5 separate regions of the Mus musculus genome follow, and all the other regions are reported to be linked to region 1. The links are microRNA targets in miRTarBase. Many come from high-throughput screens and were not tested one by one. Region 1 holds a microRNA gene; each other region holds the end of a gene's coding sequence. Distances are between the middles of the regions.

Region 1 (6,067 bases):
CCACTCCCCATGCTCAGAGTAGAGATGCTCCAAGCCCCAGGCCAGGTCTGCCCTGCTGCCCATTCTTGTTGAGGACAAGTTCAGTGCAGCCAGCTACAATCCCAGATGCCTCCTTTCCCTCCAGTATGCTCGCTTGGCAGAGATTGTGGGCATGCATGACCTTGGTGTTAGCGTTACCCTGGGAGCTCATCAGAGCATCGGTTTCAAAGGCATCTTGCTCTATGGCACAAAGGCCCAGAGAGAAAAATACCTTCCCAGAGTGGCATCTGGTAAGGCAACCTTAAGAGACCCAGGGGTAAGGAGTGTGACACTGCTCACGGTGTTACAAGGAACTGCCTGGGGATGAGGGGGTGCAACTCTGGTGGTCAGGATCCCCAGTGAGCCCGTTCTCTCCCCCACAGGGCAGGCTTTGGCTGCTTTCTGCCTAACAGAGCCCTCGAGTGGATCCGATGTAGCCTCCATCCGAAGCTCAGCCATACCCAGCCCCTGTGGAAAATATTACACTCTCAATGGGAGCAAGATCTGGATCAGGCAATCTTCCGTTTCTCTTCTACCCTTCAGCCCAGTGGCCTGACCCTGCTGCTCTAAACCCTATACTAACCACCTCACTCTTCCACAGTAATGGGGGCCTGGCTGACATTTTCACTGTCTTTGCCAAGACGCCAATTAAAGATGCAGCCACGGGGGCCGTGAAAGAGAAGATCACAGCTTTTGTAGTGGAAAGGAGCTTCGGAGGGGTTACCCAGTGAGTATGGGGCAAAACAGAATCAAGGATGGGGACAGCACTGGGCTCTCAAGAGCAAATAGTCAATACAGGCCACGCTGGGGCTATCTCTGTACAAGAGGCACCCACAGGAGGTGAGCAGTTTTGTTTCCACTGGGGGAACACAGGCTAACAGGCCATAGCTAGATATCCGTAGCCCCTGGGGCACATAGGCAGTGCCCTGTATCCTTTTTATAGTCTGGGGAGTTCTCCCCTGATCATGAGACCCGAAAAGGCCGTTTTCCCCCACAGCAACCTGTTCATACCTCAACTTTCCTGCCCTGCCTTTTCAGTGGGCTCCCTGAAAAGAAGATGGGCATCAAAGCATCTAACACGTCAGAGGTGTACTTTGATGGAGTGAAGGTGCCATCAGAGAATGTGCTAGGAGAGGTGGGAGATGGCTTCAAGGTTGCTGTCAACATCCTCAACAACGGAAGATTCGGGATGGCTGCAACCCTCGCAGGCACCATGAAATCCCTCATTGCCAAGGCGGTGAGTCCCAGCCCAGTCCCTAGCTAGCACATGTCCCTGACTGCCTCAGAGCGCCGACACACACACATGCACACTCGACCATCGGCACAGTTAGGCCTCCAGCCCGTCCAGGTGGAAACTGAAGAACCACAGTGGGGTAACATGCGCCCTCTTGCAGGTTGATCATGCTACTAATCGTACCCAGTTTGGGGACAAAATTCACAACTTTGGGGTGATCCAGGAAAAGCTGGCTCGGATGGCTATTCTGCAGTATGTGACTGAGGTAAGGGCCTCCTGGGCCCCTTCCCTGGAGCCCTATGGCTTTCTTCACAGTTGGGTCAGACTACAACCCCCAGCAGCACCTGGGGCAGTGGGTCTCCAGCTTTACACCAATGCCCTAGGGGATGCGAGGAGGCATAGTCAGTTCTCTTCTGGAGGGTGGTGCTGCTCTGCTAAATGCTGCCCAGATGCACCAAACACGACTTTTAACCCACCCCTTTACAAAGTCGGAAGCCTCGAAGCCCCTGATATACCAGAGGGTCACATATTGGACATATTTGACCTGACCAGGAGGCTAAAGTGAATTCAAGGGTTGGAGGAGTAGATCAGCACTGGTCTTGAAGGTCTGAGCATTAGCCATTCTGTCTGATGCAGCCCTTCCCTGTTGTCTTCCCCATGTCCCGACCATGCTCCCTTAGTCCATGGCTTACATGCTGAGTGCCAACATGGACCAGGGATTCAAAGACTTCCAGATAGAAGCCGCCATCAGCAAAATCTTTTGCTCGGTGAGGACCCAGGTGTGATGGGAGGGCGGAGTCCAGATTAGGACCTCAGCTCAAAAATCCAACTCATCTGGTTCTCTGTCCTCAGGAGGCGGCCTGGAAAGTGGCAGATGAGTGCATCCAAATAATGGGGGGCATGGGCTTCATGAAGGTACAGAGTATTCCTCGGCAGGGGGGGGCATCTGTTCAGAGTGGACAGGCACATCTCAACAGAGGTTTCTGTGTCTTCCTGCGTGCCAGGAACCAGGGGTGGAGCGTGTGCTCCGAGATATTCGAATCTTCCGGATCTTTGAAGGGGCAAATGACATTCTTCGACTGTTTGTGGCTCTGCAAGGCTGTATGGTAAGAGGAAGGAGGATGAGAGAGAGCAGCTGGGGAGGACACTGAGTCCTCACTGTCGCCGTCCCCCTTCTCTCCACAGGACAAAGGAAAGGAACTCACTGGGCTGGGCAATGCCCTGAAGAATCCTTTTGGAAACGTTGGCCTCCTGATGGGAGAAGCAGGCAAACAGCTGAGACGGTACCTCATGGGCCGGGGCCAGGGTCAGAGTCAGGGTCAAACAAGATGGGAGGCCGCAACTGACCAGTCACTCTTCCATCTCCTCTCAGGAGGACAGGAATCGGCAGTGGTTTGAGTCTGTCAGGGATTGTCCACCCAGAGTTAAGTCGCAGTGGTGAACTGGTGAGTGAGCCTTAAAGCAGAGCCTGCGGTGGCTGTGCGCTGCCTTCCTCTCCTGAGCTCTGTCTGTGACTCTTGTCTCTTCAGGCAGTGCAGGCTCTGGATCAATTTGCCACCGTGGTGGAGGCCAAGCTGGTGAAACACAAGAAAGGGATTGTCAGTGAGTGAGCTCTGCAACCCCCTTCCCTCCCTGATTCCCTCCCTCCGACTAACAGCCCCACCCTCATCTACCTGACAGACGAGCAGTTCCTGCTGCAGCGACTGGCGGACGGCGCCATTGACCTCTATGCCATGGTGGTGGTTCTGTCCAGGTAAGGCGGCAGCGAGGGACGCTTGGCAGGCTAGAGCCACAGAGGAGCTGGGCCAACACCAGCACTCAGGATCATTTTAACCTCTGTTTCCTCACAGAGCCTCAAGGTCCCTGAGTGAGGGCTACCCGACGGCACAGCATGAGAAAATGCTCTGTGATAGCTGGTGCATTGAGGTGAGCCTTGGAGCTCCCCAGTACAGGTGGGCCTTGGAGCTCCCCAGTACAGGACGGCCTGACCGTCCCTCCCCTTCCCTCTCCCCAGGCTGCAACTCGGATCCGAGAAAACATGGCCAGTCTGCAGTCCAGCCCTCAGCATCAGGAGCTCTTCCGGAACTTCAGAAGCATCTCCAAGGCCATGGTGGAGAATGGTGGCCTGGTCACCGGTAACCCCCTGGGAATCTGAGACTCCCAATCAGGCCCTGGCAAGGTCATGTGCCTTCTCTGATGCCAAAACCCTTTATGGGGGTGATGGAGTACTTATTGCCTTAACAATAAATTTTCTACCAAGTCACTGTCTGCCGTGAATGTCACTGCTCCCTCCTCTCCACTGCCTGCCTCGCAAAGAAAGGAGCCAGAGGCTTGGGGAGTTGGCCTCTATTTGCTTTATTTGGTGTTTTGTACAAGTGACTAAAATAAATAGAGTAACAAAGGCAGCTACACAGTCCCCAACACACCACCAGCCTCCTTGGACTGCTGTCTGGGGTACCCAGCCCACACCTTCTTCTTCCCAGGGTACCACTGACCACCACCCACCCTCAACATGAGAGCTGACTAGGCACCTGGAGGTGGCGGTCATATTCTGGGGTTAGAAGGGATTCTCCATATAAAAGAGGAACTGTCTATTTAAAAAAATACTCCCCCAAATATAAGAAAGTCTATTTTAACCCCCCAAAAAGCTTATAAAAAATAAAGCTAAAAATAACCAAAGGTCCCCATCTACCCCCGAGGAAGAGGGGGAAGGACCAGGCACTGCTGGTGAGAGTCACAGTGGCAAAAACGTTTTGGTAGGCACCAGCCGCCAGGCTGAGCCCAGGCACTATGAAGGGCACCAGGCTGAAACTTGCCAGGCCAAGGGCACAGACCCAATGTGGCCTCAAGATGGGTCCCTACATAACATCCACAAAAAACTCACTGGGGTTGCCCATGGCCATGTGGAAGCTCTGACGGCTAGCTGTCAGTTCTGGGGGCACGGAGCCCAGGTCTCTGACTGGAGGGGCACCAGGGGGCTGCACTGCTGTGGAGACAGGGGGTGGGGGTGGAGGCATCATAACTACCATCATGGGGTTATAGGGGAGAGCCATGCCAGATGGGGCTCCATAGGGATGGAGCCCGGGAAGAGCTCGGAGATTAGGAGGAGCGCCTGTCGAGCCCCTGGATGGAGGAGGGCCGCCATCACCAGTCCCACCAGGCTCCCCACCCCGCCGAAGGCTGCCTCCCCGGCTGGAGAGTTCTGACTCACTGCCACTGCCGGACTTGGACTCAGGGGCCCGTTCCTCAGGCCTGCCTGTGCGCCCAGCCCCCCCATCGCTTCTTGTCGACCCGCTGCTCCGGCTCCCTGTTGGAGGGCAGAGGTGACGAGGAAAATGAAGCTCAGCCCAGAGTCCTCAGGATCCCAGTCCCTGCTCTTGCCTCTCCTCCCCGAATCCGCTCTACTTGTGCCCACTTTCTCTGGCTGTACTGGTACGTGGGAGTGGGTCACTTACCCTCACTGTGCTGGCTGCTGGCACTGCCTCCACCATAGGTGTACGAAGAAAGCTCGTGGTAGGGTGGAGGCTGGGGGCTGTAGGGGTGTGGCGCTGGATACTGGTAGGAGAAGGTGGGCAGCAGGGGCCAGGGAGTAGCTCCAGGCAGAGGTGCCAGGGTATCCTGGTCTGAAGCCCCACTGGAACCGTCATTGTCATTCAGAGAGAGGTTAACTAGGTCTGGAAAAAAATGGAAGAGAGGTCCCTGCTTTAGGAGGCCAGGATTCCTGAGAACAGAGAAACCTGAGCCATTTCCCCAGAGCTCCCCACGAGACAAAAGCCAGAGACCATGATGGCTTACAACAGGAAACTCTGCTGCTCTGGCAGAGAAACAGCCAGGACTCTCACCAATAGCCCCAAAATGCTTTTGTGAGCCCCGTGCAGCACTCTTTCCCTTGGGGATGCAGCTCAGGTACCTCGCTTACTCAGCAGTACTACTCAGCAGTACCGGGGCACACATCAGCCTGAGCTCCTACAGCCAGACCTGCTGACTTACAACTCTCACAGCCACCACTGAGGTCCCCGAAGACATAATAGCACTGCTCAGAGAAAGTAATCTTGTTGACGGTGTGCCGGATGAGTCCCGCCTTCAACAGCCCACTGGCATACTTGCGGGCCTCCCGGCGCTCAGGAAAACCTTCCACGTGATGGTACAGCCAGTCCACCACATCGGAGCCTGGGATCCAGCACAGCAAACAGGTCAGACTCTCCTCCCAGCTCCTCCCCTCCCCTCCACCTTGTGTTGTGCCCAGCTTTGGCCTCCTCCCCACCTTCCCATGCCACCTTGCTCAGGGCCTGGGAATACCTAGAAAGGCGTTTGGGATGGTGATCTTGAGCCACATGCGGTCCCGGACTTCGAGCCCAGACTCTGGGGCTGCCATGGCCTTGGTGACAGAGGCCATGTCCATGTGGACAGAGAGACCCCGGCCTTCGCAGCCTGATAGGAGAGACCACGGAGAACTTACGAAAGGTCCCTCACACACCCAGGGAGGCGGGAAAGGAGAGAGACTCACCATCAGGCAGAGAGGAGCCAGATGTGATAGTGCTCATAGATGAGGAGCCAGGGTAAGCAGGGAAGGCGCCAGTCAGCGCAGCCGAGTGCGACACCCAGGCGGCTGGGTCGATGGGCTGGATGGGCTCATCTAGGACAAGAGTAACGTGAAACACCAAGATGATTGCTGCTCAAGCCTGGAAAACTAGGCCTGTGTGTTCCAGAATTAGGAGTTCTGTCTACCCCCATCCCTTGGCCCTCCTGAACACATTCCCTACAACTTCCAGCTTTTCTCATCTCTTTTTGGGCTTGTTTGGTTGAGGCAGGGTT
Region 2 (6,067 bases), not on the chromosome of region 1:
ACTGAGCCATATTGTCGGTTCTCATGGATGTGTGTGTGTGTGTGTGTGTGTGTGTGTGTGTATGTGTGTGATATGAAAGTACACGTGGGCTATCTCAGAAAGACGACTATCCTAGAGGGGACAGAGGTAGAGGGGATGAATAGGTCAAAGCATGTGACAAATGGAGCTATCTTAATGAAATTACTGTGTACAGTGGAAATACACCAATAAAAAAAAATTGCCAAAAGACCACTGAGATGACGCAGATGGCTAAGGTACGTATTGTTAAGTCTAGTGACCTAACTTGCACATGACACACAAAAACCATTTCTCAAGGTTGGAGAGATGGCTCAGAGGTTAAGAGCACTGACTGCTCTTCCAGAGGTCCTGAGTTTAACTCCCAGCAACCACATGGTGGCTCACAACCACCTGTAATGAGATCTGACGCCCTCTTCTGGTGTGTCTGAAGTCAGGTACAGTGTACTTATATATCTTTTTAAAAAATGTTTACAAATGCCAACCCCCAATATTTTTAACCTTTTTTTATAAGTTACATGCATAGGCGTTTGTCTGTATGTACACCATTCACGCTTGGTGTCTGTAGAGGCCAGAGGATGGTGTTACATCCCCTAGGATTGGAGACAGTTATGGGCAGCCCTGTGGGTGCTGGGAATCGAACCTGGGTCCTTGCTGTGCAAGAGCAACAATCATGGAACCATCTCTCCAGCCCCAACTTAAAAAAAAAAATTTAAAAACATTAAATGCCGAGCATGAATAGGAAAAGATAAATTTTTTTTGTTGTTTTGGTGGGGGAGAGGTCAAGGCTGGGGTCAGGTGGCCCTAGGAGAATGTGCCACAGGCTAGGCCAATGGGTCTGACAAATTGCTGTCTGCCCAGGGCCTTCTGCTTCCTCTTGAGACCTCATGAGGCCCAGAACAGAGGCTGAAGCCACCCAGCGGGCTCTGACTTCTACCATCAGAGGTCCAGCCTCAGGGAGAGACGAAATGGCTTTGCTCACTGCCCTTCCCAGCCTTCTCCTCACCAGGTCCCTCCAAACCCCACCCTGGGGTGCATTTGTCTGGGCTGTGCCAAGCTTGAACACCCACAAACACATGCTGACTTCTGCTCACACGCTGTGGTTTTGGCCTTCCGGCTCCAGCAGTGAGGCACCTCTTCCAGGAAGTCAGCCCTGCTGACCCCAGAGGGGAGGGAAGTTCAGAGAGGGAAGTTGAAAGCTTCAACCCTACCCTGCCACCCTCTCCCAGACCCAGCTCATCTCGAGAGAGGAAGCTGGGTGCCTTCCTGCTTCTGCACCCTCCCTGACACCCTAGAGCTTGCGTGGTGTGCAGTGTTACTTTTATTGAGAGCTGGGAGGGGAGGAGCATCATTCAGTAGGTAGCCTAGGCTGGCCTTGAACTCTTGGCGATCCTCCTGCCTCTGCCTCCCCATCCCTGAGATTTACAGGCACGAGGCATCAGTGTACCTGGCGTTTTATAAACTTTTGGAAGCCCCAGGACAGGATACCTGACTGAGTAACTGACCAGAGAGGAGGGCTCCTCGCTAAGACCCTCACTGAGGCGGCCAGGCAGCCAGTCATTGGTGGCGCACGCCTTTAATCCCGGCACTTGGGAGGCAGAGGCAGGTGAATCTGAGTTCCAGATCAACCAGGACAGCCAGGCAGGCCTACACAGAGAAATTCTGTCTTGAAAAAAAATCAATTAATCAATCAGTCAGTCAGTCAGTCAGTCAGTCAGTCAGTCAGTCAGCTTGCTTCCCTCCTCAGGAGAAACTCTTCCGCCTGCTCTACCTGGGAGTTGTTGAAGCCACTGGCTAGACCCTTCCTGGGCCCTCCCTACTTGGCTTCTGTTTCTTAGATGATTTTTTTGACCTCACTTGGTAACCCATGCTGGCTCTGATCTCACGACCCTCACAATCCTCCTACCTCAACAGCCTCATGAATAATACTAGGTTAGAGACCTATGCCACCTCACTGGGTTCCCCTCCTGCTCCGTGCTGAGGTTCTGCCCTCCAGGCTCAGGACCACCCTCTGGCTCCAATCAGAATGGGAAGCTCACCCTGGCTGGGGCCCCCAGCTCCATGCCGGCGGCGAGGTTGGTGCCGCTGTACCACACCTCTGTGGCTGCCAGCTCTGTGCCAGCTGCAAGGGGCTTTTGACGACCAGAGCAGAGGGTAGCAGGCCTCTGACTCATCCAGGCAGGAAGGAGGCTCATGGCCCGTGTGCAGACTGCTCCACCGTGACCTTTCCACCCTTACAAATGTCAGCTTCCTCATCTAGAAGTAGGGCCCCAAGCCACCGCCACCAGGCCCTGTATGCCAAGGACCACGGCCACCACTGGGGATCCCCTACTCTGAAAATCCCAGGCAGCTGCCTCAGGCCTTAAAAAGCCAAACTACAAAGCCAAGGTGGGGTCAGGCTCTGGCCAGTCACCCCACAAGGCAAGAGCAGTTACCAGCAAGGGCCATGCCCAGCCCACTTGGGGGTGCTGAACCCACAGCTGTGAGCAATGTCTGGTGGAGTGCAGGACAGATCTCTAATCAAATGGTGTGGGGAAGAAGGCAAAGGACACAGGGGTGGCAGGTAATGAGGACCTAGCCCCGTGAGTCCGGGGTCAGGTCAGAGCAGGCAGCCACCTACAGAAGGGCAGCAGGTGGGCAGCACTAGCCTGCTTCTCTGTAAAGGAGCGGAAACAAGGAGACCACAGGGAAGGAGTGTGGTGAGGATCCCCCGATCAGCCAGCCTCTGTGGCTGGATTTGAGGAAGGTCCCTGAAGAGCCTCAGAAAGATCCGAGTCCTCGCCAGCTCTACCCACGAGTGAGCAGCCTGGGTACTGCCCATCCTCAGAGGATACATGACAGGTGTATCTCATGACAGATGAGAGGCCAGGCAGTGTCAGCAGAGTTGACAGGGAACGAAGATCTAGGGGGGGTGGGGGTCATCCACCTCAGCAGCCTGGCTGCCTGACTTTGGTCATCCTCATTTAGCCTGCTTTGAGCCTCAGTTTTCCTGTCTGGAAAATGGGTCTCTGGCCAGCCCCCACTAGCCACTGCACCTCCTCCAGAAAGGTCTGGACACAGTGAGGTTGACACAGGGCATGACCTGATCAAGCAGCTACCGCCATCAGCCCTGTCCAATTCCCACCTCCCAACATGGTATCAACCCATCAGAGGCACATCTACACCAAGCTGGCCATACTTCATCTATTTTAACACTAGTTTCCCTCCCAAGTCGTAAACTTGTTGAATTCTTCTTCTTTTTTTTTTTTTTTTTTTTTTTTTTTTTTTTTTTTTTTTTTTTTTTGGTTTTTCGAGACAGGGTTTCTCTATATAGTCCTGGCTGTCCTGGAACTCACTCTGTAGACCAGGCTGGCCTCGAACTCAGAAATCCCCCTGCCTCTGCCTCCCGAGTGCTGGGATTAAAGGCGTGCGCCACCATGCCCGGCTAACTTGCTGAATTCTTACCAATTGCCTTCTTCTCTATGTCATGACTGGGTCTCCCCTGCCCTCATCTGAAAGTCCCCTCGAGTTACCTTGATGGACAGGTGGCTTAGCCCCAACTCCCAAGCAAGACTAGGGCCCCTTGGGTTGCTGCAAAGAGCACCTTTATTCAGAGGAAGGACGTCACCATAGCAACAACACATCAATTCCCTGAGAGCTTTTCCCTTATCATCATTAGCTTGCCTAGTTAAGGTCTTTGCAAAAAGAACACAGAATACAGCCCAGGGGTAGGGGAGTGAGGAGTTGGGGGTGGTGGGGGTGAGGTAAGTCTTGGGGTGCTGGGGAGGGTTGGGGGGGAGCAGGATTCCAGATACTGGAAGGCATAAATACAGTACTAAGGCACTCATTGTCCAGCTTTCCAAAGACCAAGCCTGTCTGGCTTCCACTTTTTTCTGATCCACAGAAAAGATAAAATAAGACCCTCTCCAGCCCACCCCAGAAAACAACCACCCCCCACCTCCTTTCACACCCACCCCTCCCCTTTCAAGAAAGAGCACAGTAAAAAAATACTGTCACAATATGTACAGGCACACCCACTATGGGCGACTTTCTCTCTACTTTGGAGAGGAGATAAAATTCATAGCTCTGAACCCCACTTGGTGTGGGAGACAAAGATAGGGCATCAGAGGGTGGGGCTGAAGACTTCGCCTCCACCCTGGAGGGCAGGGGGTGGGGGAGCATTGTTCACCAGAATGGCACCAGGCAGCGCCCGGGCCAGAGCTCACAAGGGGTCCAGGCCTTTACTACCCAAATCAGCTTCCCTAGGACTGGGCACAGCTCAGCTGACAGGGAAGGCTCCAGATAGGTGCTAGCACCCCAACATAAGAGACTGCTACAATCAGCACCCACGGACCCCTGAGTGGAGCCCCAAGGCCTCACCCACCCCCACTGCAGAGATCCAAACACAGATCCCACACAACTGCCCTCGGAGTGGTGCTCAGAGTGTAGTTAGGGACAGACCTGCCACTCCCTGAAGAACACGACTGCCCAGCAGTCTGCAACACGGGTGGGCACGCCACACAAACACACAAATATAGACATACACACACATACACATAGCCCTGAAGAGCCTCGGACACCAAGGCCAGGGCATACAATAAAGGTCCCTGGGCCCTTTGGATACCAGGGGCGCCCAGGGACAGAGTTTCAACCACGACTGCTAGAAGATGGCGGAGCGAGGACACCAGGGTGTGTCTGGGTACAGGTGGCAATGGACAGAGCGGAACCTGTTGGGACAGAGTAAAGACTGGTCTGCGTGGGCTGGGGGTGCCATGGGCCCTCTGGCAGTCCCAACCATGGGGTTCCTGCCACCCCCCCAACCCCGGGGGTACTTGGTGACCCTCTACGAGTTCTTACCTGGATGGGTCAGCTTCCACAGAGAATGGTCCCTTGATGTGCACTGCGTTCCGCTTGTTCTCAAACATGCCATAGCTCAGGGTCACCTGCATTGGGAGCAACAGGATGATGCTGGAGAGGTGGCAGTCCTGCCTGGCTATTCCTGCTGCTGTCCCTTGAGCCAAGGACACTGGCTCGGCCCACCTGGGGATGAAGCCCATGGTGGGGCCTACGACCATAAGGGAGACAGAGCAAGAGTGTCCCCTCAAAGGGCATGATCAGCAACTTAGAAGAATCTATTTGACTTTCTGTTTTGGAGGAGCTAGAGAGTGAAACTGGGGTACCTCATGTGGACCAGCAGGCTGTGACACCTGAGAATGAGGAGTCTCTGATATCCCTATTTAAAACAGTGACCCTGGGCTAGCCCAACTAACTGCATAAACTGGATGTGGTAGTACACTCCTACAACCCTAGCCCAGGAAAGTGGAGTCAGGAGGATCAGGAATTCAAGGTCATTCTCAACTACATATCAACTTCAGGGCTAGCCTGGGCTATAAGAGACCCATCTCTAAGTAAATAAAAAAATAAATAAATGAAAACATACATACACCCCACCCCTAAACGACTCTGAATCAGGTGTGGTGACACACAGCTGATTCCTAGCATATGGGGGGCTACAGCAAGAGGATCAAGGCTAGCCTGGGCTACATAGTGAAGCCCTGTATCAGTATGCCTATAATCCAGCTCTCAGAGGCAGAGGCAGGTTGATCCCTGAGTTCGAGGCCAGCCTGGTCTACAAAGGTAGTTCTGGACAACCAGAGCTACACAGAGAAACCCTGTCTCAGAAAACCAAAATCAATCAATCAATAAATAAATAGATAAAAATTGTCCCTTCCTTGGAGGCACCCTCTCCCTTCTGTCCCTCAACTGTTGAGTTCTCTGCTTGGTCACCCAGGCCTGGGGGCCACATGCGCACCTGCTCATGAAGCTCGGTGGTGGGCACCTGCTGCAGGTTCTCTAGGTGGGAGTGGAAGAGGCCGCTCCGGATGAGGGGTACACCCAGCAGAGCCTCTACAATGTAGCCAATGGTGCAGTCATCGGGGAGCCGGATGCGCTCTGCCGTGCTCATGAAGTGTCCTCCACTGCAAGGGAAGGGCCCGGGGAAGAGTAAGTAGAGGCTGAAGCCAGTAGCTGGGCCATGAGTAGACAAGACTTTGCCAAACTGGCCCCAAAAAGA
Region 3 (6,067 bases), 7.9 Mb from region 1:
GGTTTCTAGTTCAGAATATAGTAGACCTAGCAATTGTTGACACTTACCTTGTCCAAGTAGAAGGTCACCAGGACCTGTATCCCTTGTCTCTTGGAACACAGGCACCCCCGGGTACAAACAAAGCTGGGTCCAGGGCACCAGTAGAGGTAATGCTGTGTTGGGCTGTGTCTTCTCCAGGGACATTAGACTGTACTGCATGGGCTTAGGGACAGTGGGGACAGGAGGAGGCTCTGGGAAAGAATGAGAGTGGATGGAGCCAGAGAATGTAGTCCTGTCTGCTCTGTTGGATGTTACAGTCCTTCTCCCTCCAGGGGATCATACTTCTTCATATCTTTGGAGGGACAGCCTTCCAGAGCCAGGGGCCCGATTGAAGACTCCAAGGAGTTGTTAAGGACCCCTCCCATTGGCCCATCCTCAAACAGGTCCTGCCAGCCTCTGTCCCGAGCCTCCGTTCCTTTTCCAGTAGAGGATGCCATGGTCAAGGACTGAAGTCTTCCAGGCCCAGGGAAACCCTGATTAGGGGAAATAGATCAGACCTGGGGTCCTGCCAGGAGTAATCTACCTGAGAGTTTCCTCCTTGGACAGGTTGTAGTCAAGTAGTCACCTGCCTTAAACCTTCATCCGTGTGCTCTTGGACTGCTTACACGGGAGCAAGAGAGCTGAAAACTCCGAGTCCCAGGGTTCCTCCCTCAGGACTCAGTCTAAGCTTCTCAGGGGAAGGAGACAGGAATGCACTTCTTAGGCTTATGGAAGCCTGGCCCTTGCTGCCACCAGCCTTCCCATCATGTTAGTCTGAAAAGCTTACCAACTGCAGACTCTGTGCTCCTTTGGACCCTGGAGCGTTTGGGTCTTAGAGTGCTTGAGCAGAGCTCCGTGGCCCAGCGTAGAAGTGTTCTTTGGCCCTGACCCTGTCCCTCTCTCCCTGCAGCCCAACCAGCCACTGGAAGCCACTCGCCCCTGACCCATCGGATGATGAGCATGATCCTGTGGACAGCATCTCCAGACCCCGGTTCTCCCACAGCTATCTGAGTGACAGCGACACAGAGGCCAAGCTGACAGAGACCAGTGCATAGCCTGGGATGGCTCACGACTCTCCCACCCCACAGCCTCTCCCAGGATAGAGGGGCACCACTGCCCCCACCTGACTGCCGATCTGCATGGAAAACACCTTGGCTTTCTGTCAGGGGGACTTTCCAGGCTGTGGGCGTCTGACAGCTCCACGCGGCAGAGGTGGGCGAAGCAGAGTCTCTCCAAAGAGAGCTTCCGCTCTTGCCTCTGAACGCCATGCTCTTAGCTCCCGCTCTGGGCCACTATGGACCACGTCAGGTGGCCTGGCATTCCATGGAGCCGGTGGTGGACCTCCATCTCAGCCTCCTGCTCAGGGATGGTGGATAGGTTACCTGCTGGGCCGCTCGAAGTCGCTGGGCCCCATGGGAAAGAGTCAGGAGGGAGCAGTGATGCCTCCCCTCTGCTGGGGTGAGGGCTTTCTCTTCTCAGTGCCTGCTGTCTTTTTACTGTTTAATTTAAATACCCAAACCTCCATGCAGCTGCATCCCTGAGAGTGGGAGGGGCTGCCGCTGCAGCTGGGGCCTGTGGGATGCCTTGGGAATCTCCCCTCCATCTTCACTTCTCCAGAGGCCCTTTTCTCCTGCAGCCTGCTGCCAGGGGACAGCGGTTAGCAGAGCCGGGGCCCTGGTTCTTTGGAGGCAGGGTGGGGAGGATGGCAGCTGGGTGCTTCTGGCTTGGACCGAGCCAGCCTCGTTAGAGTATTAAGTGCAATGAGCAGTTATTTAAGAGCTGATCTCTTCCACCTGCACCCACCCGCGGCTTCCAGCTCTGCCTGCCTCTGACCGTATTATAGCCGGGGCCGCTCATTCGGCGCTGAGGACCTGTGGTGGGCACAGTGGAAGGTAGATGTTTTGGTCTGTTTATCAGACTGGAGTCCTAACCCTTTGTCATCTTTCTTCTGCCCATAACCCTGTCCCCACACACTTACCCCAGACACAGCAACAAGTGGTCTGTTACTTGTTACTTCTCGGTTTCTTACCATAAAGCTCATCTGACTTTTCCACTGGATCTGGGGGCCCCAAGGCAGTACCTGGTGCTGGACCTGTTTGCCATCCCCCTTCCCTTCTGCCATTGCTTTGTACTCATTGGGCTGTGCTCTCCCTGTGGACCTGATTGATGTAAGGAAATAAAAGGCCCCTTCCCTCCTGGCCACAAGTTTCCCTGCCTCTCCTTGCAGGCTCAGGGGAAGTCCAGGGTGGTCCCGGGCAGGGGCAGAGGTGGAATTCTGATGGGGACATGGAAGAACCACCTTGGTCTGTGTGGCCAATGTCACTCACTCCCAGAGCCTCACCAGGTCACTTGCCATAGTGGGTAAAGAGGCTGTTTAAGGAGGACAGAGCCTCCCACATTTGTGTTGAGGTGAGTGGGGCTGGCAGCTTGTCCCCAACCCCTTCTCAAAACTTTAGTCACTCCAGAGGTGACTTTTTGGTCAAAATTTGGCAGCATGTTCTCTGTTCCTCAGCCCTCTTTAGCCACAGAAAACTCGAGAAGCCTAGGATCACTGCCTTAGATGGCTGCTCAGTCTCTGCCTGCAGGCCTGAGCTATACTCGCCAGACTTTCGTGGCCTTGCAAAAGTTATAGGGCAGCTCATGCAGATGAGGAAGAAACCAAAGGCCTTCCCTACCCTCCTCCTCCTCCTCCTCCTCCTCCTTCTCTGAACATTATCCATGTCTAGATCTGTTTTCCACAGGCGTTCAATGGTCTGAGGAGGTGGGTGGGAAGAGCTCTGGTGATGTCTGTCTGGAAAGTCAAAAGAGGGAAAAGTCACCACCAAAACAAGCTGGGGAGAGCTTGGATCCTTCTGGGACAAAGGCGCCTGCCCTCCAACAAAGAGAAAAGGCGATGAAAGTGAGAGCCTCACTGTGTAGTCCAGGCTGACCTCTAATTCACAGTTCTCCTGCCTCGGCCTCCCTAAGCCCCAGATTGCAGGTGCAAACTAACACACCAGGTCTGGGGTGAGAATATTTTCTCAAGTCAGGGGACTTGTGTTACTCAGTCTGCTCAGCATTTGAGTCGCCTCATTAACCTGGGCCCGGTCCTGGTGCTGAGAATGAAGTCCTTTCAGATCGGGGACATCCCAGGGTGGAATCGGACTTAGAGCATATGCCTCACCTGCTGGTAAGTATCATCTTCCGACCTGAGCGGAGAGATCTCAGTGCCTGTCCTCCAGGGATGGGATCAGGGGCCACCGCAGAAGGGCAGAGAAGGTGCTTCCGAGCTATGAGCTACGCTATGGGAAGAGAATGAATGCCTTTGTGGAGAGGGAGACTGCGAAGGGTCATCAAAACGGTATTCAGGGCTTAGGCCTTCAAGGAGAATGATTGCTCGGGTAGTTATTGCTAGGACATGCATGGGGAAGAAAGAACTTACAGGATGGTCTTGACACAGAGGGATAAACAATGCTCATGCCACACACTGCCTGGGAAAGCCCGAGTTCACAGTCCGCCTCTCCCCCACCCCCAATGCTTCTCCCAGTTCCCACAAACATCCTAACCCAGGTTAGGAGGGCAGCACTTCCTTCCCTTGTTTCCCACTCCAGAGGCCCAGAAACCACCAAAGCCTGTCTTCACTTGAGGTTACTCCTGGAGAACTCTGCAAGCTCCTAAGTACCCACAGTACCTCTTCCCCTAAGATGGTTGTGATCCCACAAAACAAAGCCACTGGCCCTGTGCCCCAGGCCCGCCTCACAGCCACCCTGAGTCCGCTGTCAATCCTCCCTGCTAATTTCCAGCCTGCAGGAATACCCTGACTCCAGAATTAGAGGCAAGGGACCAAAGCCCTAGGGAAGTCCCCGCAGTGCCCAGACACATCAGCAGCAGGCAGTGACCCCCCAAACTGCTCCCTTTGTCCTCAAGTCCTCTTGGCAGATTATCCCAGTTGTCCTTCCCCCATCCCCCCCCCCCCCCCGTGCCTGGTGGCACAGACACTTAGCGATTTGCTCCTTAATTGTCCCCCAGCTAGGCTGCGCAGATGCCGCTCTTTAATCTCTCCTGATAAATGAATCGCGCCGCTCCTTTAATCATATGTTCATATCCAAGCCAATTTGAATCAATTTGGCAGGGAGCGTGTTGCAAGAGATGCCATGACTGCTGTTCTCCCCCCAGGGCCCCAGAGCCTGAAAGCTGCAGTCCTCACTTTCAGCAGAGAGCCCAGGAGGCCCATCTAGGAAGAGGAGTGCCTACCTGAAGTGAGGACTTTTTAAAGTCAGCCACCTCATTTGCTTCCCGCCCTCCAAGCAGGCTGTGTGGGAAGAGAAAACGGATTCCCAAAGGCCTCAGGAGTGGGAGGGACAGGGGATGAGTTCACAGCCAGCCTTGGTCACTGAATAAAGGGCCATCCCTGGGAGAAAGTGCTGTCTTAAATCTAACCTTAATCCCTCCTGTTCCCCTTTCATTTCCTCGGAGCCGGTTCTCAGGAACTTGGAACACTTTGTAGCCTCTTATATAGCAACACATGTCAGACCAGACTATGCTAATTTGTCCCCGCCTGGTACTCCCAGCTACCTCAACTGCTTTCATCTTCCCCTAGGCTATATCCTCTCTAAATCTTCCAGCGGAGGGGCACGCCTGATGATGGACGAGTTCTGCCCTTGGGGTAGCTTCTTTCCCATTGCCCCAGTTGGAATCCGGGCCAGTGAGAAAAATAGCAAAAGCAAACAGCTACTGACACCACAACCTGGGAAAGGGGCTGACTCTTCTGGCCTCGGTTTCCCCATTTGTAAAGTGAGGTGGTGTTGCTGGCACGAACCTTTGGTTGCTAAGTTGAGATTCTGTTGCTGCCGCCAAGGCACCCTTGGGTGGCACCCATGGAGTTGGTGAGACGGGTGCTGAGGAAGTTCATGGTCTGCCTGGGCTTGGCTTCCAGCCAGCGGCCTCTGACTTTCAGCCCCTCTTTCATTTCCTATTGGCCTCCCTTCCTGACTCTGTCAGGCCAGGTAGGCGCCCTGTCTTTCACTGTGAAACTGGGAAATCACTACCATTTATTCCGATTTTATTTGCAAGTTCACAGCCCTGATTTTAGAGCTCAGTAGCTTCTGGCTCCATCCCACACTTGGAGATTCTGCTCTTGTTGCTCCCAGAAACCACACACCTCCACAGGGTTTCTCTGTGTAGCTTTGGCTGTCCTGGAACTCACTCTGTAGACCAGGATAGCCTCGAACTCCCAGAGATCCACCTGCCTGTCTATGCCTCCCAGGTGCTGGAATTAAAGGCCTGAGCCACTGCTACCACCATCCAGCATCCAGCTTAAGCCATAGCTTTAGTAACAGGCTGTGTTAGCTATGTCTCAAGCAGTTGTCAGGGCCATGTGAATGGCATTCTCTCCTCTCTCTCTCTCTCTCTCTCTCTCTCTCTCTCTCTCTCTGTGTGTGTGTGTGTGTGTGTGTGTGTGTGTGTGTGTGAGACAGGGTCTCACTAACTGCCCTGAAACTCACTATGCAGACCAGGCTGGCCTCAAACTCATAGAGGTCCAGCTGCCTCTGCTTCCTGAGTGCTTTGATTCTGTCTCTTCCCAGATCAAATTGCAAGAGTGATCTGGAGTGATCTGGAGTCATGCCATGATGCTTAGCATTGCCCTTTTAATGATTTCAGATCAGGACCAAGGGAGCAGCTTCCCACCCCTTTAAGTCTTAGGGGGAGCTGAAGCAATGATGGACCTGGAGGCTGGGTGGTGCTTCCAAGATTATCACCTATTTGGTGAGGAGGTAACAATGGCTCCTACGCATTGAGTTACTGGGTCCCCAGCCCTCACACCTTGACTGACATAGTCTCTCCCAAGTCTGTTAAGTGTCATTGTCCTCTAAGGTAACTGAGGTTCCAGTGATGTCAGCAAGGTCCTCTGCTTGGATCCAGCAGCTGGCTGGGCATCTGGAACTATTCTAGGCTTGTCAGGATGCAGAAGAAGCAGGAAGGGGAGTGACCACTGTCATGGCCCCCTCCAACCCTTATGTGCTTAGTAGTCACCAGACCTGGCCTGAGGAAGAAAACACTTTTGGCAAAT
Region 4 (6,067 bases), not on the chromosome of region 1:
AGTCTCCACCCTTCCCTCTGGAGGACACTGCCACTAGGACAAGTCAACTTTGAGCATTTGAAGAAGACAGAAGGGGATGGCTGTTTTGTTGCAGTTAGTCTGATCAGTTTCCCCTTCCCCTCTCCAAGGTGTGGCTAGTCATTACAGGTGTGGGGAAGACTGCCTAAGGCAGTGGCAGGGAAGCCAGGGCTGTGTGCTACTGTGTGGCCTCCTCAGGAGAGCCTTGCCTCAGAGTGGTTTCTTCTACTTTGTATTTCCCCTCAGCTGTTCCTTGCATTTTCCCGTGTTAGGACAAGAGTGCCCAGGAGTCATGATGGGGGTGGAGGATGTCTGATTTGATATACTTGCTTTCTTAAGTTTCCTAAGTCAGAACCCAGGCACTTGTGTGAGTTGAACACATTTCCAAGAGCTATAGGACACTTTTGAGGCATGGTTGCCATGGTGTCCTTCTTCATTGGAGCAGATAATGCACTTGTGTGTTGACACCTCTGAAAATGATCGTCACTTGTTAAATCTTCATAAAAGTGCTGACTTAAGGACGGCTTTAAAGTCTTCATGATAGACTGTGTGAATGACTTCCCATCCTGCTGTGCAGACAGGCCTCAAGAGTCTGTCAGGGCTCCAGTCAGAGATTCTGCTCTCAAAGCTAAAATAATTCTGACTGGTCAGTCTAATTCTTTAAGTACTTGAAATGTGCCCCATCTCCACTGAGATGTGCTGTTAAATATTAAATATGGATCAGACTTAAAGACAACATAAAATAGTAAAATATTTTAGTAATTTTTATATTGAGTACATGCTACAGTTGGTATTTTTAACTTGAATTGGCCTAGATAAAATAAATATTAAAATTTATTTTTATTTTATTATGGCCACCAGAAAACTGAAAAGTGTTACGGGGTACCTATTTCTGCTGGTCAGTGCCAAAAAATAGCTTTTCTTGGTGAAAGAGTGCTTCCCTTTTGAAGATTAGGAGGTGGTGCTCAGGGAGCTGTTTTGCTTTCGTTGCAGGCACTTTAAAGAGGAGGAGACCGCCACAGCCCATTCAGCAGCCCCCGCGTCAGAGGCCCCGAGAGAGTTATCAAATGGGACACATGCGACGCTAATGCAGCTTTTGCCTTGGTTCTTCCTAGTGCCTACAGTGGGAAAACTTCACTCCAAAGAGAAACCTGTTAAGTCATCATCTGCAAATGATACCCTTACAGTTAATAGTTGAAGAAAAATGGCAAGAGATCATGTCCTCAGATCAGGTGGAATTACTCAAAATTTAAAGCCTGAAAATTCCAATTTTGGGGGTGGGGGTGGGATGGAAAAGGAACCCAATTTTCTTATGAACAGATATTTTTAACCTAATGGCACAAAGTCTTAGAATATTATTATGTGCCCCATGTTCCCTGTTCTTCGTTGCTGCATTTTCTTCACTTGCAGACAGACTTGGCTCTCGATAAACTTTTATCACAAATTGAAATATATTTTTTTCAACTGCCAATCAAGGCTGGGAGGCTCGACCACCTCAACATTGGATACATCACTTGCCAATGTACATACCTTGTTATATGCAGACATGTATTTCTTACGTACACTGTACTTCTCTGTGCAATTGTAAACAGAAATTGCAATATGGATGTTTCTTTGTATTATAAATTTTTCCGCTCTTAATGAAAAATTACTGTTTAATTGACATACTCAGGATAACAGAGAATGGTGGTGTGCAGTGGTCCAGGATTCTGTAATGCTTTATGCAGGCAGTTTTGAAATGAGAATCATTTTCCCTTTTCTTATGGTGGAGTTGGTTCTTACATACATTTTTTTCCTTGTTACATGGCTGCTGTGAGCAGGAGAGGCTGTGCTGAAGAACGCAGCTGATGGCTTGCAAACTGGACAGCAACAGCATTTGGCTTCAGAGTCAGCTCTTTTTGTAGATGTCTGATTTCTGCTTAGTATTTTATACTTTCTAAATCAATTCCATTTTTAAATTGCTAGGTGAATTTTTTCATGCCTTGGAATTATGTTGGAAATGATTAATTTTCATCTGTAGCCTGCTTATTACTTTGTGTATTCCATATACTTCAAGCCTGCTAATTCTGTTTTTATCCAATATGAAAAAGAAAATCAGTGTCTTCATTGAAATACTTGGACAGTTAGTTCTTCAGCACTGTCACTGATCACTGGTAACCACTAGAGATGGGTGATTTGCTCAGCAGGTAGTTGAAATTGTAGATAGGTTTTTCGACGTTGTTTTCCCCCCAACATTTTAGCAACAATGAAGGTAGACAGCACAGTGTCCCATTACAAACTTCTTTTTTAAGCAGATAAAATATTGGCTTTTTTAAAGAAAGAGAAAGCAAAAGCATTTAATGTATTAACAGGCTTATCGCTATGCAGAAAATGGAGGGGGCATTAAAAAATGTAAGCTTGTGACATATTCATTGCTTCTGTTTTCCAGCTACATCACTTAAATTAGAAGTCAGCAGCAGTGATCTTCCTGGCTTTACATAGGAGGCAATCTAGAGAAGGTTGACAAGATTACTGTGTTTGGCTTTTTTTTTTTTTTCCTTTTTTCTTAAGAGTCTAAGGTTTACACAATCACTCACAATGTGACGCGAGCCAGCAAGGCCAAAACCGCTAGAGAAACAATGGGATCTCTCCTTGTAAACTTGTACAGTACGCGGGACTTTTTTCAAAACAGCTTTTTGTACATGATTTAGAGACAAATTTTGTACATGAAACCCCAGATAGACTATAAATAATTCTAACCCAACAAGTAGGTAGCTGTGTATGACACTGCTTTAAATCATTCAAATGCCTTTGTTTTTGGACTGTGCAAAGGTTGGAAGTGGATTTGCATTTCTAAAATGGTGACTTTTATTCTGCAAGAGTTCTTAGTAACTTCTTGAGTGTGGTAGACTTTGGAACATGTACATTTTTTGCTTGTAATGTTATCCTGTGGTAGGGTTTTGCCCTATTTTATTTTGAGTCTAAGTTAAATGTTTTCTGAAGAGATACATGCACTGAACTGTTTCCACTACAAATCAAGATGTGGTTAAAAAATGAAAGGACCAGGACCAGTGAGATCTAATACTACTGTCAGTTTAATGTCCACTGTGTTTTATACAGTATCTTTTTTTTGTTGTTCACTTTGGAAATTTTTACTAAAACCTGCAAAAAATAAAGTATTGTGCAAAGATGTAAGGTTTTTTGAAACTTGAAATGCATTAATAAATAGACTTGATGAAATCAACTTGAGGTCTATGCTCTTTGGACTCAGAAACATCAGAAGTAGCCACCATGCTGAATGAAGGACTATTCAGCAGAAAGGTCTCTCCATGCAAGTGAGGGCATCACTGCTACAGTCCAGAGCCATGGTGCACAGTTGATTGCCATTATCACATGTACACTGTATGTTGAAAGTTACTCAACACAACGGCTTCTCACTGTTTCTAAGCAGTGTCCAGGACTTGTCCTAGTGAAGAGCTGAAGCTAACTGGAAACTTGTAGTCTTCTTTCTGTGTTCTCAAAGTTCTGTCTGGGTGCTAAGTGCTTTTATTAATGTCTGATTTATCTGGATGTGGTAGTGCCTATCCATAATTTCAGTACTGTAGAGGCTAACGTAGGAGGATCTGGAGAGAAAAGGTAAACCTAGGCTATATGCAAGATTCCTTCCCTAAACAATCCTGGTAAAGAAATTACCTAGCATGCACGTGGACCTTGTCTTCAATTCATAACTCCCCTGTCAGTTCCCCCACACAAAAGAAGACTTGGTCTAATGAAAATGTATTTGAAATTCTGAACTAACATTTTCCCGTCTTACCAGATTTATTATATATTGTAAGCAGAGAATTGACATTGTAATATTACCTACAAAAGAAATTATTTTGTATACAGGATAGTGCCCTTTATGGAATAATATGCCCCAAATTCCTATTTTAAAATTAAGACTAGCTATAAATATTGGTATATATTAAGTAAGTAAATATGTAATACTTTGTTTTTTCTTTTGTTTTTGTTTCTGTTTTTGTTTTTTAAGTGGACGTCTCACGCTGTAGCTGGCCTTGAACTCACTGCCTTTGCCTTGCAACTGCTGGAATCAGGGGCACTTATATTTGTGCCTACTTTTTCATACTTTTACAGTAGCGTTACTTAATAATTAGGGGGTTGTTTTGTTTTGTTTCCCCATGAAACTGGTAATTTTTACCAAGTCAGATAATTGCAAATTTGTTGCTGCTTAAATTTTGTTTGGAATTTATTTTTGGTATAGTTTTCTAAATTTCAACACCAGTTTACAAACAAATATATCATTACAGTTTCGGGATTTAGTGATTTCCATAGCACCAGGCAATATGTAGGCTGGGGAAGGGTTTATCTAAGGGAAAGACAGCTTTATAAGATTAGTCTTGGCTTTTCAGTATCTTTAATACTTTGTTGTCTAGGTACTTCAAACTTGTTGCATTCATAGTTGAATGTAAAACTGAAGATTTGCCCAAACTGAGCAGTTTTCTATTTCTAAGTCAGGTCTTGGGCTGCTATTGTTTTTTAAGGCCCAACTGTTGCTCTCAACATGGTGTCTTTGGTAGATGTGAGGTGCATACTTGTCCTTGAAAAGGCCTTTAAGTTCTCCTGGAGTATTTTTAGTCAAATGTCTCAGAGCATCTCGGAACAAAAGGTTTGGGCTTTCCCAGAGCCAGGGAGCAGGGAGGATGCCAGTTTGAAGCAGATGGTAAGGATAAATCGTCTTTAGAGAAGTCACCAATGCTGTAAGAGATTATAGGAGGAAACTTTTTTCTGTCTCAGAAACAAAAGATCATCACTTTGCCCAGAGTATAGCTTTTTTTTTTTTTTTTTTTTTTTAAGCATTTTAGATTCTCAATTAAGAACTCTCAAGCCAGGTACAGTGCATATGCCAGTAGTCCTAACTACTTAGGAGGCTGAGGTAGCCTTGCTTGTTCCCTAAGATAGAAGCCAGGCTGGGCAACAGAGCAGACACGTTTCCAAACAGGAGAGCCACATCAGCAGCAACAAAAGTAAAGACTTCCAGTTGATTTTTTTTTCCTCATTTATTACTAGTGTAGCATTTTTATTGTTTCTGGAGCCAACTCTTTAGTGAGACACAGATTAAACCTTTGTATTCTGTATTCCCATATGCTTTGTGTTTTCAGACATATACCTATGTGCTATTTTCATTAGAAACTTGTGTATTTATAACTGACAAGCATTTCAGAATGTGTTTTCTTTTAAAACGCAACTGGATACTAGATAAATACAAGAGGGTTGAATGCAGTGTTTATTACCTTCTCTGTCTGGAAATCCCCGTGAAAATGGCAGGGCTAATCCAACACAGAGTAGGTGAAGTGAAGAGCGTGGTAACAAGAATACATTTTTGGCCACTTGGAACAGATGGAAGTGTCTGCATGGTTTGGCAGCTCCAGGGTCACCACATTCTAAGCCTGAAGTGAAATGGGCAACTGGGCATGGGATAATGGATGCCCTGGTCTCCACTGTCAAGATTTCAGGGCACAATATATGAGTAAATGCATGTGACTCACAATATAATTTGTAACCTACCTTTCTCATTTAGCAAAAATAGTGATGGTGTATTAACCTTTCTGATGGCAGTAATGATCTCACCCTATGGAGGTATTGCATGCCTTTTTACATTAATCACTTCCCCATTGTTTGCATATGTAAGTTCCAGATATTTCATTGTTTTAAACAATCCTTTGTGGAAATCCTAAATCTAATAATACAGTCTTAAAACTAGAGTTTGGGGTTAAAGGTGTTTGAAAGGTCATTGATTTAAAAAGGTGATAGTGTCTTTGACTTTAAATATAAGACTTTCTTCTTAAAGAAATATGAGGGGTTGAAAATCTGCATGTATTGCCCCCACTTACGATTATTAGAAACAACAGTAGAAGACGTTTCTTGATTTCATGGAGGCCAAAATTTAGTGCTCCAGCTGTGGTCTTCAAATACTGTTTTCTTAAAAGGAATCAGACTTCCTTGGATAAATGGATAATTCTGGATATAGGGAAAGATATGTACAAAAAAAAAATCGGTCACACTAGTCTAT
Region 5 (6,067 bases), not on the chromosome of region 1:
ACCTCCTGATTGCTAGTGCTAGAGGAAAGGGGAGGAAGTGTATCAGACAGAGTTTTAATACATCAGTCATCACTCCGTCCGTTCATTCCTGGTGAGAGTCAACAGCTGTGGTTTGGTTAGGATTGAGTGCAGGGCCTGAGGCTTCTAACTTGTGAACTGAAAGGTTAGTACTTGGGGGCTTCCCATGTGTTCTCTCTAAGCCTTTCATGGTTACCTCACTTGTGCTATTTTAAGCCAGACCTGAACCTTAGTGTAGCTTTGTAGATTTGGGGCTCAGTGGAGTCTAGATTTTTGAACCCATTCTTTCCATCTGTGAAATGGCAATGATCCCTAACTTGCTGGGTTAAGTGTGTAGAAAGACTCGGCAAAGTGACAGGCTGTGACAGATGCCAGGTTTGGTTTTAACTTTGTTTTTTACAGGTACCAATGTCTCAGGCCCCTTTGCACTTACCTTGGCTCTCCTTCTCCCCTTTCTTCCTACTACCTGCCCTTCGGCCATGTTTAATTCCTGGCTACTACTTGGGCTCTAATTGTGTTTTTTCCACTTGAGGTTCATGTGTTGAGATCTACGTTTTGACAAAAGGTGACCACCATTGCCAAAGAGCTCTAATCTTTGGGGTCCCCCTGGACCCTCCTGAGTTGACAGTTCAGGGCCTATCATTATTTTGCACAGTGTCAGTGGGTTTGCACCGAGTCAGGCAGGGGCAGGAAGAAGGGCACTTGGTAGTAATGGTGTCTGTGGTTTGAAGGCCCGCCTCCTGCATATTTTGACGCCAGCCTCGGTAGCCTTGGCCAGTGTTTCTGCAGTGTGGAAAGCCCAGTGGGAAGCTCCCTAGGACAGAGTAGTAAGTGACACAAAATCAGCTATGGAGAGAAGAGTTTGGTATAAATGCTTTATTAAAGAAATATTATTTTCTTGTTAAAAAATACTACATTAGAGAAGAGAGTTTTGTGTTATCAGTCTTTCCTCCCAGAATCACAGTGTAGATAGTCATTCCTTGTCCTCTCTAGGAATCCTCAGGCCACGGATTAGCAGAACACAAAGGAGGGAAAAAAATTCATCTTAAATGTGCAGGATTCTCAGATGGTTTTGAGAATTACACTACATAAGCATTTAAGTTTAATCCGATCTCAGCCTCTGACTACCTTTTAAGACTAGGACTCTTAAAGCAGAGTGAGAGGCCCCACCATCTGCAGGGCGAATGAAGGCCGCTCACAGAAGAAGCCTTGAAAGTAGTGACGTGGGGAGGTCTGATCAACGTGGAGGATTTTCTTACTCGTCCTCAGTGGTAGTGAAATGCCCTTTGTGGATACCATCAGGTGAGGTAGGGAAGACATTCCAGAGGAAATCTGTTAATGGGGCAACATTTTTATTTCTGTACATTTACATACAAATTTTCCCCAAAGGTACAACAGATGCGACACCATGCAGACACGCAGCTGTGAATGACAGTTCAGAGCTCAACATAAACTTGTGCTGTGAACAGGTACCGCCCCCTTCAACACGTACAGTCACGCGGCTCTTAGAGGAAAAGCACGCATGGTTGGGTTGCAGAAAGGACAGAGGTAGGGAGGCGTTCCTCACTAGACACAACACACCATATTGTTTCTCTAAAACACACACAATACATTAGAGTGAGGTGGTGTCATTCAGAACAGGGAGGAGTTGAAGTGTGGGCCTCCCTCAACCCATGTGCCACCCAGGGGCTGGGTGTGTGATGGTCACGAGATTCTTTGAATGGCACTTCTAGTTCAGGGACTTCTCGTTTGGCTCTGGGAAGTAGTCGTGACTGTGTGTGATACTCCCCTTACGAGGTCTGATTTTGCTTGCTTTCCATTTTGTGGCCAAACCCGTTATCAGCCCTGTCCTCCAGTTGCAGGTGGTTATAGTCTTAAAAACACAAAAACATCTAAACCTTTCCCCTATTTGTCTTGGGTGCTAATAAGTAGATATTTCCATAATATTTGACTTAATAAAGAGCAAAATGAAGAACTTGTCCCACCCCGTCTCAGCTGTTGACATTTGTGCATAACTTATGAAAACAGGTGTAGGGATGGGTGGAGAGTAAGACCTTTTAACGTTCTCCAGGGAGGGAGGGGCCCCACACAAAGGCCAGTGCTTGAGGAGCATCTGCCCACAAGGGACAAAGGGCCAAGTTTAGGGATGACAGCTTGGTACCAGGGAGCTGGGCTGTGGCCATCTTTCTGGAGCTAGGTCAGAGTGTCTGAGGCCTGGGTGCCTGCTGTCTTTCTCACTTGGTCAGACCACACAGCAAGCTGGCTCACAAGCAAGCTTTCCTGTTTTGGCTATCTTTCATGAAGGTGTTCTAGCAACTTCAGGTGTCCATGCACTGAAGCAGAAACTGAGCTGCTTAGTCTTTCCCTGAGGCTGGCATAAGACACTGCCAGCAGTCTGCCTTCTGGTTGATGGTCCTCTGGCCCCTGCCTCAGTGGCAGCTTCTTTGCTAATCCCTGATGGGTTGCCTCTGGTCGCTGCAGCCATTAACACTGTCTGCATTGGCCTAGTGTTCTTACCACTGTCATTTGAGGTGGAGATTGGAGACCTTGAAAAGAAGTTTCGAAGTGCTATACCTTGACACCACTAACCTAGTGATTTCTGCAGGCCAACACAACCAGTGTAAGCCTGCTCATGACTGCAAATGTCCCATTCTGTCCTTAACAGAAGGTTGCTGCCAGGTGACTTGGTAGCAGGTACCTGGGAAAGGTGAATGGTATCTTACAAGTTTGGCACGCAAAGGCTGCACAGATCACAGAGGCTTTGGAAAGAGAATGTGTACTAACCTCAAGGCATGGAAGAGGGATGACTGAGAGACCAGGGAGAGTGAAGGGAAGCTGGACTTAAAACAGGTATCAAGGACTGGCCACATGGCCGCCCTCCTAGACATGTTGGTCCTCAAGCAAAGCACTCAGGACCCCAGGCATCAAAGAGAACATAGGCCAGCTGCCAGAAACAGGGTTGCATATGGAATCAGTACTCTCAAGAGGGCTTGATCAAGGCGGCTGGATTCCACTGATGTCTCTATCAGATGTGGAAGAGAAGTGGGTAAGACTGTAAGAAACAGATCAGACAAGGAGCTGGAAGGGGCTCAACTCAACCCTTTTTCTGGCCTTTGAATTCTAGCAACTGTCATTTAGAAGTCACTTTGTTGCCTACATAGGCCCAAGGCCATGATTTCCCTGGAAGAGCACGTGGGAGAGACGCATGGCAAGAGGCAAGGCAGATGGTTGATAAGAAGCCACGATGCCCAGAGAAGCTGGTGCCTGAGCTGCTGCAAGAGGTCCAGAGGCTGGTTTCTTAGCAGCCCTGGTGCCCTGCTGTCTGGGGCAAGATGAGGGACACAGATAAAGGACATCCTGGGAGGCTGGTACAGGATGGGAGTTGAGCTTTGGTGAGTTATTGCTTTCTCTCACTTCTTGCTGCTTTCAAGGGACTAGAGGCCACGTGGACTGACCTGTGAGCAACCTGCACTCCTGCCCAGGGCCCTTTTGTGCTGAGTGAGTGACAGGCAGGAAGCCATTGAGGAAGACATGAGGTGGACCGCCTCCAGGTGCTGTGGGCACTGTTGTGATGTCAGAGTGGCAGCCATCCAAGCTGGAGCTCTCTATGGTATGTGCTGGAGACGTGAGTGGCGGCCATGTGTGGGACATCGAGACTCCCTCCTGGGATTTGCCTTTTTCTGTTATTTTCCTTTTGTTTGGAGTTCTGGAAGTGGCCACATTTTCAAGTAGTACTGGCAACAGGGCTGGCTGGGGAAGAGGGACCTTTGCTGCTGGAGCTCAGTCAAGGAAAGTGTCTTAGCAGAAACAAACATGGCTCCCACCTCAACACAACAGCTGCTGTGGACTTAACTAAGCAAACCGGGCGGCGGCGGGAACTGGCGCTTTCTCATCATGTAGGATTTCTGGTGAAGTATGGAAGTTTCCCCACAAAAACTTCCAGATCAAGTACAAAAGGATGATCCTGAAGGAAAGAAAGATTAAGCTGGCTCGTATGACATCTGGAGGCTGTTTTCCCAACACAGCATGGAAACTACCTAACAAACAGAAAGTAAAGTACCCAACTTTAAAATATACAGACTCTAGGAAAAGAAAAAAAGAAAAACAACAATTCATGTACATTTTCCTCTGTGTAAAATGTAGTCCCAAGGACTCTCTGCTTGAGAGGCACAGCTGTCCATGGCAGGGAGCCTGGAGGTAGGGGTCCTGGCCTACAGATGACCTCTGTCTCCTTGAGTGGAGAAGGAAATTGAGTCTGGCCTCCAGGGAGGGGACTGGCCACTGCATTGGTCACTTACAGGGACTTCCTCAGAGTGACCCTCACTCCTGAAGGAGGTTCTGCTTCATGATCAGTGGAGGGGGGAAGGGGATAAAGTGCTTCTCGTAAAAATGACCAAAATAAATACAAACATTGAATGGCAGAAAAGAAAGTCTTCAGAGGGTTATTTCCAGAGCATCTGGTTTCTCAGATGTGTTCCTCGGATGTCTGGAAAGACAGAATTCCCCACACCGGTTGAAAGTCTCACAATTGAGTGGAGTCAGCAGCAGAGATGGACTTCCTCCCTGGTCTGTAAACCTGTGTGCAAACTCTCCCCAGCCCTTCAAGCCCCGGGGGGACTGGTGGAATGGTGGCGTGGTCCAGCGAGCTACATAGTCTTCATGCCATTGGCAGTGGCCCCCTCTGGCAGCCCGTCACCCACTGCAGCCACGTCATGCAGGCCCGAGTAGTCCTTGAGCTCCGCGTTGGTGAGCAGCAAGGGCTGCTCTCCCTTCTTGTGTGGCAGCAGCGGTTGCCGTGTGTAGTGTTCCCCGTTGGCGATATTCTCAGGCAGGTTCTGGTTCCTGCTCTCAGGAAGCAGGAGGATGCAAATGATGCAGATGAGCGTGCAGCAGGCGAAGATGATATGGTGCAGGAAGTAGCCTTTTTGGTTGTGCAGCTCAATAATGGGCGCTGTCAGCATGCCAAAACCTGCACTGGCCAGCACCAGCCCGAGCCCACCACACCTGCATGGGGAGAGAGCACAGGCTTAAATGGAACATAAGGGTTTGGCGCAGGTAGGGTGGAATGGGAGCACAGGTTGGTTGGTATGTGCTAAGTACTATGGCTGTTAGGGTAAGCTCATAGCACTGTTCCAGAAACTCAGTGTTAGAAACCTCATCTCAAATTCAAATGTTGGTGGAATTCAGACATGGGAGGGAGCTTTAAGAATAATTAATATTAGAGGTAGTCAAGAGGTTAGGCCCCCTGTGACAGCAATTTTATAAAGCCTTTAGAAGGAGAGGAGAAGCCTGAGCTAGCATATTTACTGGGTCACCACTATCTTGATGCCCTGCACTGTCTTGGGATTCTGCAGAATCCCCATTATCTAGGGTCCTCACCATGTACAACCCCTTACCTTGAACCTCTCAGCCTCCAGGACCATAGCGGAATAAACTGTATTCTTTATAAATTGTCAATTACTACAATGGAGAGTGGATCGAGGCACTAAGGAAGTTCAGCCTCTGTATTGGGCCCTACTCTGGTTGGTTCCACCTAGTAAATCCCATAGGTTTGATATCCCAAGCTACTTTCATCTTGGCTGTATCTGAATTCCTGCAACTTTGAGCTCAGATGGGCCAAAGTCAAAGTGTGAGTCATTTATCTCTATTCCTCTGCCAAGTGAGGAACCCTTGAGAAGACACGTAACATTTTAGCACCCCTCCTTTCGTGTCTCTATCTTCTCTACTTTGACATGAAAACATTCCAGGGGCTGAGGTGCTCTGTAGGTACTAAGAAAGAGGTACAGTGTTGGGGTGAGACCATAGTGTTCAGGTAATGGGCCAGAAAACTGCCTGGTCCCCAGTCCCCAGGCCCAAGGGACAGATTGAGGTGGTTTTATCTTCAGAAGGAGGAATACAGTAGCCTGCCTACCTGTAAGAACATCAGGGAGAATATACAGGGATGTGGACTTCAGGAACAACCAGGTCTTTCCACCTATGGTAAGTGGATTTCAACAAAGACACACACCATGGGGCAAAGGGCAGCTGTACAACAAGCAGTGTTGGTGCA

What was found. Region 1 holds the annotated microRNA mmu-miR-324-3p (CCACUGCCCCAGGUGCUGCU, at 1,589-1,608, opposite strand). A microRNA usually pairs through its seed, bases 2 to 8, with sites in the 3' UTR of a target mRNA and lowers its output. Matches are read on the target gene's strand: a 7mer-m8 pairs with bases 2 to 8, a 7mer-A1 pairs with bases 2 to 7 and ends in A, and an 8mer does both.
Region 2: the mRNA of Lfng is a reported target of mmu-miR-324-3p. The part of its 3' UTR that is shown has no 7-base or 8-base seed match.
Region 3: the mRNA of Myo18a is a reported target of mmu-miR-324-3p. Seed matches in the 3' UTR shown: 7mer-A1 at 1,452-1,458.
Region 4: miRTarBase lists Adam10 as a target of mmu-miR-324-3p. Seed matches in the 3' UTR shown: 7mer-A1 at 2,474-2,480.
Region 5: miRTarBase lists Slc22a23 as a target of mmu-miR-324-3p. Seed matches in the 3' UTR shown: 7mer-m8 at 2,401-2,407.

Annotation. Positions count from the first base shown.
Region 1 is chr11:70,007,636-70,013,702 of GRCm38, reverse strand. Mir324 (microRNA 324) reads right to left here and starts at 1,660; the gene lies at 1,572-1,660. It overlaps Dvl2 (dishevelled segment polarity protein 2), which reads right to left. Exons shown (of 15, transcript NM_007888.4): 11 at 5,760-5,888; 12 at 5,552-5,683; 13 at 5,243-5,422; 14 at 4,708-4,926; 15 at 3,594-4,559. The coding sequence ends at 4,111. Acadvl (acyl-Coenzyme A dehydrogenase, very long chain) reads left to right here. Exons shown (of 20, transcript NM_017366.3): 7 at 125-269; 8 at 402-531; 9 at 620-745; 10 at 1,057-1,255; 11 at 1,413-1,517; 12 at 1,933-2,019; 13 at 2,105-2,167; 14 at 2,257-2,358; 15 at 2,438-2,535; 16 at 2,625-2,697; 17 at 2,782-2,854; 18 at 2,933-3,005; 19 at 3,103-3,178; 20 at 3,267-3,520. The coding sequence ends at 3,407.
Region 2 is chr5:140,613,061-140,619,127 of GRCm38, reverse strand. It overlaps Lfng (LFNG O-fucosylpeptide 3-beta-N-acetylglucosaminyltransferase), which reads right to left. Exons shown (of 8, transcript NM_008494.3): 6 at 5,807-5,972; 7 at 4,852-4,937; 8 at 3,583-4,721. The coding sequence ends at 4,655. Among named protein-coding and RNA genes, the nearest start is that of Lfng, 8.8 kb to the right of the region's middle.
Region 3 is chr11:77,863,763-77,869,829 of GRCm38, forward strand. Myo18a (myosin XVIIIA) reads left to right here. Exons shown (of 41, transcript NM_001291213.1): 41 at 929-2,226. The coding sequence ends at 1,073. Among named protein-coding and RNA genes, the nearest start is that of Gm29932, 18 kb to the right of the region's middle.
Region 4 is chr9:70,776,989-70,783,055 of GRCm38, forward strand. Adam10 (a disintegrin and metallopeptidase domain 10) reads left to right here. Exons shown (of 16, transcript NM_007399.4): 16 at 1,012-3,241. The coding sequence ends at 1,106. Among named protein-coding and RNA genes, the nearest start is that of Adam10, 100 kb to the left of the region's middle.
Region 5 is chr13:34,178,290-34,184,356 of GRCm38, forward strand. It overlaps Slc22a23 (solute carrier family 22, member 23), which reads right to left. Exons shown (of 10, transcript NM_001382849.1): 10 at 880-5,022. The coding sequence ends at 4,665. Among named protein-coding and RNA genes, the nearest start is that of Gm52037, 17 kb to the right of the region's middle.